Linked DNA regions of Alligator mississippiensis. The protein of the gene in region 1 purifies or fractionates together with the protein of each later gene. This does not show direct contact. Links are inferred from orthologs where the notes say so. Each region holds a gene or a part of one and is shown in the gene's direction. Other genes may lie near its edges. The genes, in order: OTUD6B and OTUB1.

The links.
Region 2: the proteins of OTUD6B (region 1) and OTUB1 fractionate together in Homo sapiens (co-fractionation; 4 studies listed by BioGRID and IntAct, with this or other methods). This does not show direct contact. The link is inferred for Alligator mississippiensis from reciprocal best matches to the Homo sapiens genes OTUD6B and OTUB1.

The regions. Positions count from the first base shown.
Region 1 is NC_081826.1:45,998,790-46,005,414, reverse strand, and holds the start of OTUD6B (deubiquitinase OTUD6B), read left to right. Parts: upstream 1-2,379; 5' UTR 2,380-2,527; coding exon 2,528-2,615; intron 2,616-6,625.
Region 2 is NC_081838.1:4,618,880-4,625,504, reverse strand, and holds OTUB1 (ubiquitin thioesterase OTUB1), read left to right. Parts: upstream 1-2,508; 5' UTR 2,509-2,561; coding exon 2,562-2,613; intron 2,614-2,810; coding exon 2,811-2,872; intron 2,873-2,975; coding exon 2,976-3,074; intron 3,075-3,569; coding exon 3,570-3,688; intron 3,689-3,763; coding exon 3,764-3,848; intron 3,849-3,957; coding exon 3,958-4,152; intron 4,153-4,536; coding exon 4,537-4,731; 3' UTR 4,732-5,485; downstream 5,486-6,625. Other genes in the region: ADP-ribose glycohydrolase MACROD1, read right to left, coding at 6,166-6,197. UniProt on the Homo sapiens protein: Hydrolase that can specifically remove 'Lys-48'-linked conjugated ubiquitin from proteins and plays an important regulatory role at the level of protein turnover by preventing degradation.

The DNA.
Region 1 (6,625 bases):
TATGGGTAAATGATTTGGAGCAGGGATCCTCCATCATGCAGTGCTCCCCAGCTTCTCTGGTCCTAGAGTTCAGTGCAGTCCCTGCCTTGGAATTTCTGTTCTCCACTCTGAATGCTAATGGAGGTGCCTCCCTTTCTCATCTCTGATGCAAATGGGACTAGGGGAGTTACCTTAATCCTGTCACCCTTGTCCGGAGAGTTTTAGGTGCGTCTCTCACTGCATCTTCATTGCCTTTTGTAAGTCCTTCTTCTGATCACTTCTGGTTCAGGTGGGGGTAGGGGGAATCCTTCATGAGTCACACAGGCTGGGTACTGCACCAGGGTTCCCCAGGAACACAGAGCTGACAGGTAACACCCTCCTGGTCTCCCCCCCACCCCCCTGCATCAGACCTTCTCCTGAGTACCTGTCTCTGGGTCCCAGGCTCTCTATTCCTCCTGGCCCCTCATCTCTGCTGCCCCTCTCTAGGCTACGGGTTCACCACTCCTCTTCCCAGGCCTATATATTCCAAGGCCTGGCCTGTTTCTGGGCCCTGGCCTTGTTCCCATGCTCAATGCTGCTTCCCCCAGCTCAGCAATTCTCTCAGGAGCCCTGCTACCAGGAGCTCCTCTCCCCATGGACTGACTGACCAGCTCAAGCCCAGCCTCCTCCTGGTCGGGTGACACTCTCATCTTTTATCTTTAGGTATGCTCTTTCCAGTGTGACCTTGCTGTAGCTTGCTGTTGCACAGGGTTAAGTGGAGTACAGTAGTGTGGAGCCATGGATGTGCCTTGGAAGTATCAATAGTGGTCAGAAGCCCCTTGCTTAGTGTTCAAAGAACACAGTCTGCTGCATTTGACAGTCTCTTGTGTGCAAGTGGTAGGGCACACAAACTTTTTTTTGTCTTTGGTGCAGATATTTTGGGCTGGGTCAAATCTTGTAGTTTTAAACTGGCAAAATTCCAACTGATATCAGTGAGAATTTGGCCTGTATAAGAGATCCGGGATCAAGTTGTATGTCTCAACCGGTAATTACAAGGATATAGAGACTCCCTATGCCTGAAGAAGGGTGTTTGCACCCGAAAGCTTGCTAAGAACTTTCCAACTACTCAGTTGGTCTAATAAAAGATATCACATCTACTCAAAAACCTTGTCTGCATATAAAACGAAATTTATTGTGTTAGCTGAAACACTGCAAGATCTAGAAAAGATCATAAAATACACAATAGTGCAGAAGAATAATAGTATTTAATGATCTTTTACATTGAAGAACGTTTTAAAAAATGTGTTTTAAGAGTGGTTTAAAAAAACTATATAGATATATATAGATGTGTGTGTGCATATATGTATTTGTATAAATCTATGTAACATACAAACATATATACAAAAGCTTGCTGCTGTAGATAGATAGGCACATACACAATATCTGTCTATCTCTAGATAGATAGATATAGATATACGTGTGTACACCGAGGCCCACACATGCGCACACACTTGCTTCCATAAAGGAACATGAAAATACAATTATCAAATCCTAATTGTTTTAATAGTGTGTTCTAATAGCCATGGGGCTTCTTACATGTGTCTACATATTCTTCTAGTGTCCTCATCACTGTGATGTACACATTAGCCTATTTCAGTGGTCACCAACTGGTCTATCCTGGTCGATTGGGGAGCCCTTGACAGTTGATCTTAGTTAGATCAACCGTCACAGGCTCCACATTCAGGACACATGTGGGGAGTCACTGGGACACAGTAGCGGAACAGCAGAATGTATGAGTGACAGGACGCACAGGGCTAGGCTGAGCTCCGCCCCCTGCTGCCGGGGCTGGGCCGGGTGAGTGGGACAGTCCCTTTCTGCACCCTCTACTACCCACGCAAAGCCCAGCGAACAGCAATAGCCGCCTCGCCATGTGCCCCCGTGCCTCTGCTGGGGTGTGTGCAGCAGCAGGAGCCCCCCACGTGCCTGAACAAGGCACCTGGGCACTGACCCTCCCCTGGCCTGGCCCAGCCAGGGCCCCACTCGCCCCTACCCCTACCCTAATTCCTCCTTCACCGCAGAGGCCTCAGTAATTAAGTGTGTGTGTGTGTGGCGCGCGCACATGTGAGGGACAAGGTAGCGGGGAGAGCTGGAAAAAGCAAAGGGGCAAATCGTATGCACGTGTGTGTATATATACACGTACATAGCTATATATGAATCCCCCCGCCTCGCTGTATTTCCGGGGGGACGGAAATGTTCTGGAGCAACACTTATTGCCCCAGGGACAGGACAGACGCGTGTCCTAGGTGCTCGGCCTGTCCCTCACAAAGCTGGGAAGCGGCGTGGGAGTGTCCCCACCCCTACGGAGCAGCAGGGGAAGCGAGGGCTCGGCAGGGAGCAGGCGCGGTACCTCCCCGCGCCGGCCACAGGGACCCGCCTCAGCTGCGCGGCTCGGGACCAGGCGGGAGGAAGCGGCCGGCAGTGGAGCGCCACCGCCCCTTCGCGAGCGCCTGGACCCGGCTGCGGCAGAGGCGGGGCTGTGTGCGGCCTCCCGGAAGCTGCCGGCAGCCCCATGGACGGCTCCGGGGAGGACGAGCCGGCGGAGGGCACGGTGCAGCTGCTGGCCAGGCGGCAGCGCAGGGAGAAGCGGGAGCTGCAGGGTGAGCTGAGCCGGCCGGGGGTAGCTGCGGCGGCAGCGGTAGCCCCTTGCACTGCGCTCCGCTCCGCGCGCGCTTCCCGCCTGGGGGCCGCTGGGCCCGGGCGGGGGGATTCCAGGACTCCGCGTTCCAAAAGCGCCGTCATCATCTTCGTCACAATCGCCGTCAGCGCGTCATAATGACCCTCGGCATCGGTCTGCTGGCGGGCTCGGATCTCCCCTGCGGGCGGGCGGCTGGAGCACGGGCGCACCTGTGGCCCAAGGGCTTAGTCCGGGACGGGGGAGTCTGGGGCTCGATTAATTCACTGGAATCAGCCCATTGTCCCCAGGCCAAGTGCTAATTCGGGCCCTTGGCAGGTTCCTCGCGTGGGATCAATGGACCCGGCCCTGTGTGGAGTCTGGGCTTTGCTGCCTAGGAGGCCTGGAAGCCTCATCTGCTTTTAGCCTTAGGGCCCTGCTACAGCCCCAAATGGAAGCTGGCTAGAAACCGGCCAGAGCATGGTTGGGTTTTCAAACACTAATGGTGTAGCTGGCTGGCTCTTTTTATAGCTGCCCAGTCACCTGTATGGTCTGGGAATTTCTTGGATGCTTCTGCTTTACCTTTATTGCGTGACTGATAATATATGTAACATGTAGTAGGGGCCGAGGAGTAACCAGGTAATCACACCTTAAGTTGTGATCCAGCTACGAGTTTATCCGTTAGATGGTGTTAAAAAATGTGTGATAGCTTTGTAGCTTGTCCTAATTATGCCACTAATTGAATGTGTGGCCAAGTGCTTCCTTGTGGCTGGGAGCCCTGGCACCTGAGGGACTCTGAGCCACAGGGCTGCACCACTTGCTGCCAGCTCCACAGCTGACGAGTCTTGCCATGGTGATGGCATTCCCATTGCTGACCCTGCTGTGAGTCTCAACAGCTGTGGGCCTTGCAGTAGGGACAGCCTTGTTGGCTGTAGGTCTCATAGCGGGGGCAGTGGGAAGAATCCTGGGGGGCTCACAGCCATGAGAGCCAGTGCAGGGGATCATGATCTCCCTCTACTGGCAGTAAGGTGTGATAAGCTCTAATGCATGATCCTAAAATAGTATCTTTTGCCATGCACATGTGGCATGGCAGGAGGCATGATTGTGCAGATCGCGCATTAGATTCCATTGTGCCTTTATCTGCACTAGAGGTGCACCGATACATTTGTCCATATCGTATCAGCACTGATAAAAGGAAATTGACATTATTGGCAGTCAGCTTTTTTTGGCCAAAGAGGTTGATAATGTCACCGATAAATGTTGTGTGCACGTGCACAGCTGCAGCATGCATGTGGGCAGGAATGCAGCCCAGCAATTTGGAGAGCAGCATCTATCTGATAAGTTTGTGGGGAAAGGGACATAGTGGAGGCAGATTGAGGCCCCCACAGCGAGGGAAGGAGTGGAGCTGGGGCAGGTGGGACAGGGCATGGGATGGAGCTGCAGGTGGCTCACCCAGGGGGTGGGGAGGGCAGCTTTCGACGCTGCATGTGTCCCACGGGAGGCATGGGAGCCATGTGCCCCCCAGATTTGTGCATGGGACAAGGGCATGCTGCCTGCTGCAAGTTTGGGGCTGGAGGCTGAGCCGAACTCTTCCCGGTGGGAGGGCTGGGGTTGCACTCGGGGTGGGTGGAGGTGGGATGAGTGGTGGCAGCATTGGGAGGGGGGGCTATGGGGTATTTTGGGGTGGCTGTAGTCCCCCCTCCCAGTGCTACCACTGCCCACCCCCAGTGCAGCCCCAGCCCAGCCTCTGACCCTGAGCCCACAGTGGGCGGCCTGCCCTCACTCCATACACAAATACGGTCGGCATATTCCCCCTATGCTTCTGCGAGGGATGCGCACAGTGGTGGGAGCTGCCACTTCCACCCCTTGTACAAGCTGCCTGCGGCTCTATCCCCCACCCCGCCTCGGCTGGGCAGTGCCTGCCTCTGCCCCTGCCCCACTCCTTCCCTCACCATGGGGGCCTCAATCCACTCCTCCTATGCCCCTTCTCTCCTCTATGCCCCTTCCCCCCTACAGGCCTACCTTCCGGATGCTGCTCTCTAAGTTGCCGGGCTGCATATTGGCAATCAGATCAGTATTGACTAATATGGCTGGTTAATAATTGGCCATTGGTATTGGCCAAAAAAATCTTTATCGTGTGCCCCTAATTTGCACATGTAGAGGGGCACTAAGTGTGCAGCTATGCCCTGCCTTCTGCTCTACTTCAGACTAACCCTGCTGACTGCCTTTCTGTAAGGTGCCTATAAAGTAGTATCTCCCGTGCCTTCTGCCTCTCAGATTCAGTTGATGTGCCACAAACTTTGGTCTCTCACCTTTCCCACTCCCATGTTGTCACTGTGGGGCTGTGACCCTGAAGTGTTCTTATTTTCTGTTTCCCCCCAGAACTTCTCAGCTGTAATGTGGCCTTAACAGGAGTGTTTCTGCTTATCTCCATGTTGTTAGTTAAAAAAAATAATATAATGTAATAATCTAATGTAAAGGGACTTCAGAAAAAGTTCTAATGCCCAGTCAGAAACATCTAGTACTTCATCTTTAATATCATTTAAGTTTGTCAAGTTAAAAGGTAGGTTTGCAGTAATGTAGGGTTCTAAAATACTTTGCTTGAAACTATTCTTGATTTCCCCTGAGACTGTGCAACTGGGATTCACACAACCCAAAGAGTGTGTGCGCACTAACGGCAAATGGACAGGTCGGTACTCTTCAAGGAAAAAAATCCTCTATAGCAGAGGTGTGCAAAATACAGTCCGCAGGCTGGATCAGGCCCACCAACTGATAGGATCTGGCCTGTGGACGGGCATCCACCAATTGATTTCTACCCCATGGCTGCCACTGGTTCTCCATAAGGGGCTGAGCCCTGCCCGCTCCTGCCCAGGGAAGCCTGTGTTGCACTCCTGCCTGTGCCTGCTGACATCCCTGGCCAGTGTGCATGGCTTCCCAGTGGGGCCAACCCCAGTGCACCTACAATTGCCTAGGTACTGCTCAGCTCCCCCTGCCATCAGTATTTCCTTTTCTTCCTCCTGTCCCTGCTGAACTGCTCCAGGCAGCAACTAGCTTGAGGAAGTGACGGTGGCCACGGGGACATGTGCGGACGCCATGAACCCATCCAGGTGGTGGGGAGCTGCAGGTGGGTGGATCCTGGGCCAGTGCACAGGGGCTCCAGCTCAAGCTCCAGCTCCCAGCCATCTTCTACCCACTCAGCCTCTCACAAGTGGCTGCTTGTTGCACCAGGTGGGCAGAATGGGTGGAAAGTGGCTAGGAGCAGGAGCCCTGCATGCTGGATTAGGAGCTGCCTGGCTGCAGCTTCCCCCTTGTCTGGACAGGCACCTTCTGCCTGGAGCAGCACAACAGGGGCAGGAGAAGGAGCTGCTGGAGGCAGGAGGAGCTGAGCAGTACCTGGGTGGCTCCAGCAACAGCCCCACCAGGAAGCTTTATGCCAGGGCTGAGGCAGTGCTGTCTAGCCAGCTCCTGGGACCTAGCGTGTGGGCACCCCCAATACGCGTGTGTACCCATCCCCCTACACACATGCATGGACCGCCCCCCTGCCGACAAACACCACATGTCCACCCTCTCCTACACTCCTCCCATACACACCTTCAACCCTCATACCCAACTTCACAATACAAAAGAGTAAGACTTTATTTTGAGCTATTATGCAGTCACATTTGCTACTCAGAAAAACAAATCCTGATAAAAAAAATATTTTTGGAAATAAAATTAAAATATGGTTTAGCAGATGGTTGATATGTAGTATATGACTTATCATTTTAACAAGTTACAGATAAAGAAACATTTTCTGAAAGATTTTACATGTATGGCCGTTGATAGCTTACCAAAATCCATTAAGTAGTCTTCCAGTTGAAATAATTGGCCATCCCTACTCTATAGCAATAGTAGGTGGTGGTTTAAATATGGCAGATTGAAAAGCAAATTGAGTGATTATGTCTGTTTCTATATTTGTGAGAGTCATTCAAACTGTAGAGTTCACATCTAGTTTTT
Region 2 (6,625 bases), on another chromosome or scaffold:
TAAATACCTGGGACAGCTCTGGGCCCGCAGTGATGGGGCTCAGGGGTGGGTGAGCAGCAGCTTCCTTGTCTGACCCTGTGGGGGTATTTAATGTGCCCTGGAAGAGGCTGTTAATGCCCCGTGCTGTCCACCCATCTCTGGGGCTAAGAGGGGAGAGCATTGCGGGCTGGTATCCCATAATCCTTTGCATGATTGGAATGGGGCTTGCTGCTGGGCATTGTGGGATAGCTACAGGCCTCCTGGGCAGGGGGAGGAGGGGTCTGGGTAGAGAGGGTATCCCACATCCCCCGTGCTCTGGGCTCTAGGCTGGGGGGATCGCAGTGCCCCCAGCTGGGCCCCTCTTGCCCCCCACCCCATGGGCTGGGGATGCTGCCCCCAGGGGGTGCTGCAGGGGGTAATGTGCCCATTTCCCCCCTCCCCCAACCAACCAGTAGGTGTCAGTGGGGCTGAGTCCAGGCAGGGGGCTGGGAGCCAGCAAGGACCATGGTAAGTGGGAGAGGGGCTGCGGGTCGGGAGCGAGGGGCACCAATCAAGTTGGGGGGCAAGGGGCTGCGGGTCTGGAGCAAGGGGCACCCATCGAGCAGGGGGCAAGGGGCTGCGGGTCTGGAGCAAGGGGCATCGATCAAGCAGTGGGGCAAGGGGCTGCGGGTCTGGAGCGAGGGGCATCGATCGAGCAGGGGGCAAGGGGCTGCGGGTCTGGAGCGAGGGGCACCCATCGAGCAGTGGGGCAAGGGGCTGCAGGTCTGGAGCAAGGGGCACCCATCGAGCAGGGGGCAAGGGGCTGCGGGTCTGGAGCAAGGGGCATCGATCGAGCAGTGGGGCAAGGGGCTGCAGGTCTGGAGCAAGGGGCACCCATCGAGCAGTGGGGCAAGGGGCTGCGGGTCTGGAGCAAGGGGCACCCATCGAGCAGGGGGCAAGGGGCTGCGGGTCTGGAGCAAGGGGCACCCATCGAGCAGGGGGCAAGGGGCTGCAGGTCTGGAGCAAGGGGCACCCATCGAGCAGTGGGGCAAGGGGCTGCGGGTCGGGAGCAAGGGGCACCCATCGAGCAGGGGGCAAGGGGCATTGGCAGGGCTCTGAGACCTCCCCCCCACCTCCACTCTCAGGCCCAGCGTGACACGTCCCACCTGCCCATCTATGTCTCCAGCCACTTCCAGCACCTGCCGGCCCCGACGGCCCCCCCGGCTGCCCCCTCATCCCCACTGGGCCCCAGGCGGCCGCGGCCCCCTCCCCTGCGCAGCCAGTGGGAGAAGCGGAGCATCGCTGAGAGGCTCCAGCTTGGCTTCAGCCTGGTGCCTCGCCGCACCCCCCTGGGCTGCTACCAGGGCCGCGCCGTGCCCCCTCGCACCTGCTCCCACCGCCTGCCTGGCGAGGGCCGCAAGGCCCAGAGGTGAGTGCAGCTCGGCCCGCCCGGCGCATCGGGCTCCTCTGTGGCTTGGGGCTGTGCTACAGGGGGCCGGGGACTGCGGGTCGGGAGTGAGGGGCACCGGCGAGCGTGGGGGGAGCAGGGTTTTGCAGGAGCCCCCTGGGGTCCATGCTCTGCCCCCCCTCCCAGCCCCAGGCCCTGGTCCCTGGAGCATGAGCCCCCGAGGGGGACCGTGGCCAGATCCCTGCTGCTCCCCGCGGCCTGGACCAGCCTCCCGGACATGAAGGAGCTGGAGCCCCCTGCAGAGGTAATGGGGGGGGGGGGGCTCCCAGGGCACCATGGGAGCTGGGGCGGGCAGTGTGAATTGCAATGGGGGGTTAGCCGGGGGGCTTCGGGGCTGTGGGGGGGCAGATGTGGGGGATCTGACGCGGGGCAGAGTTGAGGGGATTCTCTGCAGATGCCCCAGGAGAGGGCAGGACCCTTGGCCTTCCCCAGGCCCTCCCAGTGGCAGAGCCCGGCCCCGGGGGCGCTGGCATGGGGGGCAGCGGGGGGCGCTGGGCCTGGCCGCCCCTTGCGAAGCTCTGCTGGGTCAGCGAGGGTCACCGGCTTGGGGGAGACCCCCCAACGCCCCCTTCTCCCGCCAGGGCCCGGCCCCAGCCCTGCTCCCGCCTGCAGCTGCGACCCCGCCGGAGCGCCTGCGGCCTGGAGGGGCCCGTGCGCCCCCGCCCTCGGCTCCGGCGCCCGGAGCGGGGGACACGGCGGCCCGCGGCAGTGCCCCTCGGGGGGCGGATCGCCTGTGATGTCATCTCCAGCCTCAGTTTCCCCAGCTGCGCTCCTGGTCCCTGCCCCCCCCCCCACCGCAGGACATGGGGGCATGGGGAGGAGATGGTGATGTCACATGATGATGTCACGGAAACGCCCCCATTCCAAGCAAGGCGGCTGCTCTGACACGGGTGCTGTCACGTCACTGCCGGGTGATGTAATGGCAGGGCATCCCGCCACCGGCCGCTCTGACGTCACCGATGAAGTGACACCAATGCGGTCCCCGCCCCCGTTAGCTGTGATGCCGGATGACCTCATGTCTACACCAACCTCGTGGGGCGGTGACGTCGCGGGGTGAGGGCGGGGCCCGTTGCCAGGGCGGCACTTCCGGCGGGGCGGGCCGTGACCCGGAAGCGCTCGGCGCGGCGGGGCCGAGATGGCGGCGGAGCCTCAGCAGCAGCCGGAGCCGCTGGGGGGGGACGCGGACGGTACCGGAGGGGGGGGAGCACGTGACCCCGCGGGACCCCGCCCCAACACCTGGGTCTCCCCCGCCCCGGGGCGCCCTCTGACCCCTGACCTCTGACCCGGGGGGGGACAGCCGGGCCCCGCCCCCCCCCGGGCCGGCCTGGGGAACCTGGGCGGGGGGGGCCGGCGCCCCTCCCCCCTCACGCGCCTTGTCCCGCAGGCGTGAACTGTCTGGCCTACGACGAGGCCATCATGGCGCAGCAGGACCGCATCCAGCAGGAGGTGCGGGGGGGCCTGGGGCGGGGACCCCTCCCCCTCCCCCTGCCGGGGGGGCGGGGCTCGGTGCCTGGACGCGCGGCCCCAACCCGCCCCCCTCCCCCCCCAGATCGCCGTGCAGAACCCGCTGGTGTCCGAGCGCCTCGAGCTGGCCGTGCTCTACAAGGAGTACGCGCCCGACGACCTCGTCTACCAGCACAAGATCAAGGTGCCCCCCCGGCCTGCTCCTCCGCCCCGCCCCCCTCTCGCTCCTGCCCCTGGAGCCAGGAGCTCCTCCCAGCAGGGGGCAGATGCCCTTTCTACCCGACTCCTCCCTTCCTGCGCCCCGCCCAGCCAGGCCCTGGCTCCGCCCCCTGCACCTGAGCTCCACCCCCAGGCCAGGTGAACTAAACCCCGCCCCCTAAACCAGCCCCAGCCCCCCTAGCACTAGGCTCCACCCCCCACAAATTGAGACTCCACCCCCTGTCCACAGAGGCCTGACAGCCCACCAGCTAAGCCCCACCCCCTAAGTCAGACCTTGACTGTCCTGCTCCCCACAACCCTGCCCCAGGTCAGGCCCTGCCCTCTGCCCCCAAGCCCCGCCCCCAGGCCAGACCTGGACCCTGCCCCCAAACCCCTGGGTGGTTGCGCCCCACCCCTCCCCCCCTCAGCTCCTGTCCAGGCTCCACCCCAAGGGCGTGGCCTGACAGAGCCCCACTCTCAGGACCTGCTGCAGAAGTACTCGTACATCCGCAAGACGCGGCCGGACGGGAACTGCTTCTACCGCGCCTTCGGCTTCGCCCACCTTGAGGCGCTACTGGGCGACCGCACCGAGCTGCAGCGGTGAGGCCTGGACCCTGGGTTCTGGGGGGGCAGACTCTGGCCCCGCCCCCTGTGACCCCGCCCTCCCTCTCCCAGGTTCAAGGAGATCTCGGCCAAGAGTAAGGAGGAGCTGGTGTCTCAGGGCTTCACCGAGTTCACGATCGAGGACTTCCATAACACGGTAAGGGCACTGCCCCCCCCCCAGCATGGGCGGAGCTCATGCTGGAGGCGGGGTTTCGCACCTAGGCCTCCGTCCCCGCCCTGCCTCAGTTTCCATCTTCCCCCCGCAGTTCATGGAGCTGATTGAGCAGGTGGAGCGGGGCGTGGCGCCCGGCGAGCTCCTGGCCGCCTTCAACGAGCAGAGCACGTCCGACTACCTGGTGGTCTACCTGCGGCTGCTAACGTCCGGGCACCTGCAGCGCCACGCCGCCTTCTTCCAGCACTTCATCGAGGGCGGGCGCGGCGTCAAGGAGTTCTGCCAGCAGGTGGGCAGAGTCTGGGCCAGGAGCCTGCCGAGGGGTGGTGCATGGGGTCACCTATGAAGCAGGGCCAGAGGAGGGCTGTTCTCTGGGGCTGGGGCCTGGGCAGGAGCCAGAGCTGGTGTGATGGGCAAGGGCTGTGTGTGCTGGGAAGGGGCGAGGCCTGGGAGGGTGGCAGGGGGCGGGGCCTAGAGGAGTAATCTGCTCTGGTGGGGGAGGGGGCAGGCTTCATCAGGATGGGTGGGGCCTGCCCTGGGACTTCTTGGGGGCATGAGTGAGCAGGGCGGGTCCAAGTCAGTGGGGGTGGAGCTTGTCAAAGGCATGGCGAGGGGCAGGGTGGGGGCGCTCCCGCGTCTCTGACACCCACCCCGCTCCATGCCGCCGCTGCAGGAGGTGGAGCCCATGAGCAAGGAGAGCGACCACATCCACATCATCGCGCTGGCACAGGCCCTGCAGGCGCCCGTGCGCGTCGAGTACATGGACCGAGGCCGCGGCGCCACCAACCCCCACGTCTTCCCCGAGGGCGCTGCGCCCCGCGTCTGCCTGCTCTACCGTCCCGGCCACTACGACATCCTCTACCCCTGACCTCCAACCCCCGACCTCCCCCTCTGCCTGCTCCACCGCCCCGCCTGCTGCAGCCTCCTCTCCCCGACCCCATCTCTGCCTGCTCCACTGCCCCAGGAACTGCCCCTGCCACAGACAGAGGTGACCACGGACCCCCAGCTGCCCCAGCCCCTCCCTCCAGCCCCATCAACTGCCCTGGTCCCCTGCCACCTGTTCCCTGCACCTGCCCCAATGTACCCCCCCACACGTGTCTGTGCTGGTGCTGGGGAAACTATATCCCCCCCAAGCTCCCCCTTGGGCCCTTCCCCCCGCTCCCCCCCATTAGCCTATGACACCCTTTGCCCAGGCCCCCTACGACTGCGGCACCCTTGGCCAGGCATGGAGGCCCCTCCACCAGCTCCTACCAGGCGGGAGGGAGGGCAGGAAAGGACCCCTCAACTGTACCCCCCTCAGGGTCTCTTCCTTGACTCCCCCTCCCTCAGCCAGCACGCCCCCTCTGGGACCGGGGGGGGGGAGCAGAGTTCCCCCCTCCTGCTCCCCCCCACTCCCAGTGACACCCCAGCTCTGCCCCAGCTGTGACCAGGGCAACTTCCTCTACAAGGTGGAGAGGGGGCTAGAGGGCCCCAAGTCCCTGCCCCCAAAGTAAGGACCTGCCCTGGCCACTGCAATGGGGGGGGGAGGGGCACAGCTGAAGCCCCCCCCTGGTGCTGCCCCCCCTCCCCCTCTTATCTGGTTCTCTTGTCACCTCCTGTGGCCAATAAAGGGGAAGCTGGAACCAGTGGCTCAGCATGTGTGTCTGGGTGTGTGTGCACGCATGTGTCCCAGACACCTGCAGGGGGTGGGGGGGTCATCCCAAACGCCTCAGTTGTGTGCACACGTGTTCCAGATGCCGTGTGGGGGGGCAGGGGTGTCCGTGTCCCAAGTGCCTGGGGGCGGAGTCCCGGCTGCCTGGGTTCTGGGGTGGAAGCCGGGGGGGGGGGGGTTGAGGGAGTGTGTGTGCGCCCATGTTCCAGGCACCTGGGTTCTGGGTGTGCGGGTGGGGGCGTGTGCCCAAGTGTGCAAGTGTGTGTGTACACGCATCCTGGACACCCGGGTTCTGGGTGTGACGCCTGGATCCATGGTGTCCTGCAGGCGGCAATGCCCCTCACTCCCAACCCGCAGTCCCTCTGTCTTCTCTGCCATGCACATGGTGGCATCCGAGACATGAAAACCAAGTGACACCACCAGGGTCTGCAGCCCTGCTTCCCCCATTGCTGCCCCCTAATCGCAGCACAGCCTTGGCAGGGATTATGGGGTGGTCACCTCACAGCCTGGGAGGGAACCCAGACCTCTGGCACCCCACTGCCTCACCAATGCAGCCACTGACACCAAATCCTTTATTAGCCAAACACTGGGGAGGGGCAAAGTGCCAGGGGGGTATGCCCTGTCCCCAAAATACATGGGGAAGGGGGGGAGTCAGTCCAGGGCAGCAGCATCCACGGAGTCACCTGGGGGCAGAGGGAGATAGGTCAGTGCCACCCAAAGACCCCTCCGCCCTGCCAGTGCCCGTCACTCCTGACCTGCAACCCCCTGCCCACCCAGCCCTGCCGGTGCTCCTCACTCCTGACCCGCAGCCCCTGCCTCATCCTCTCCTGCTGGGGTGCTGCAGCCAGGCCTGTTAGTGCAGACATAGGGCCCCCCCCCAGCAGGAGACCCCAGGGGTCCGGGCTCCTTCCCAGAGCAGGGAGCGAGCCCAGGTGTCTGGGGGCAAGGGGGTGTTAGTGCAGGGGGGGGTTCACACAGCTCTTACCCAAGGGGGGGTGGGGTCATGGCCTCAGGCTGGAAAAGAGGGAGGGGCAGATGAGTCCTAGGGTAGCCCCGCCCCCTTCAGGGATGATCCCGCCCCCTCCTGGCTACAGCCCCCCACACAGATGGG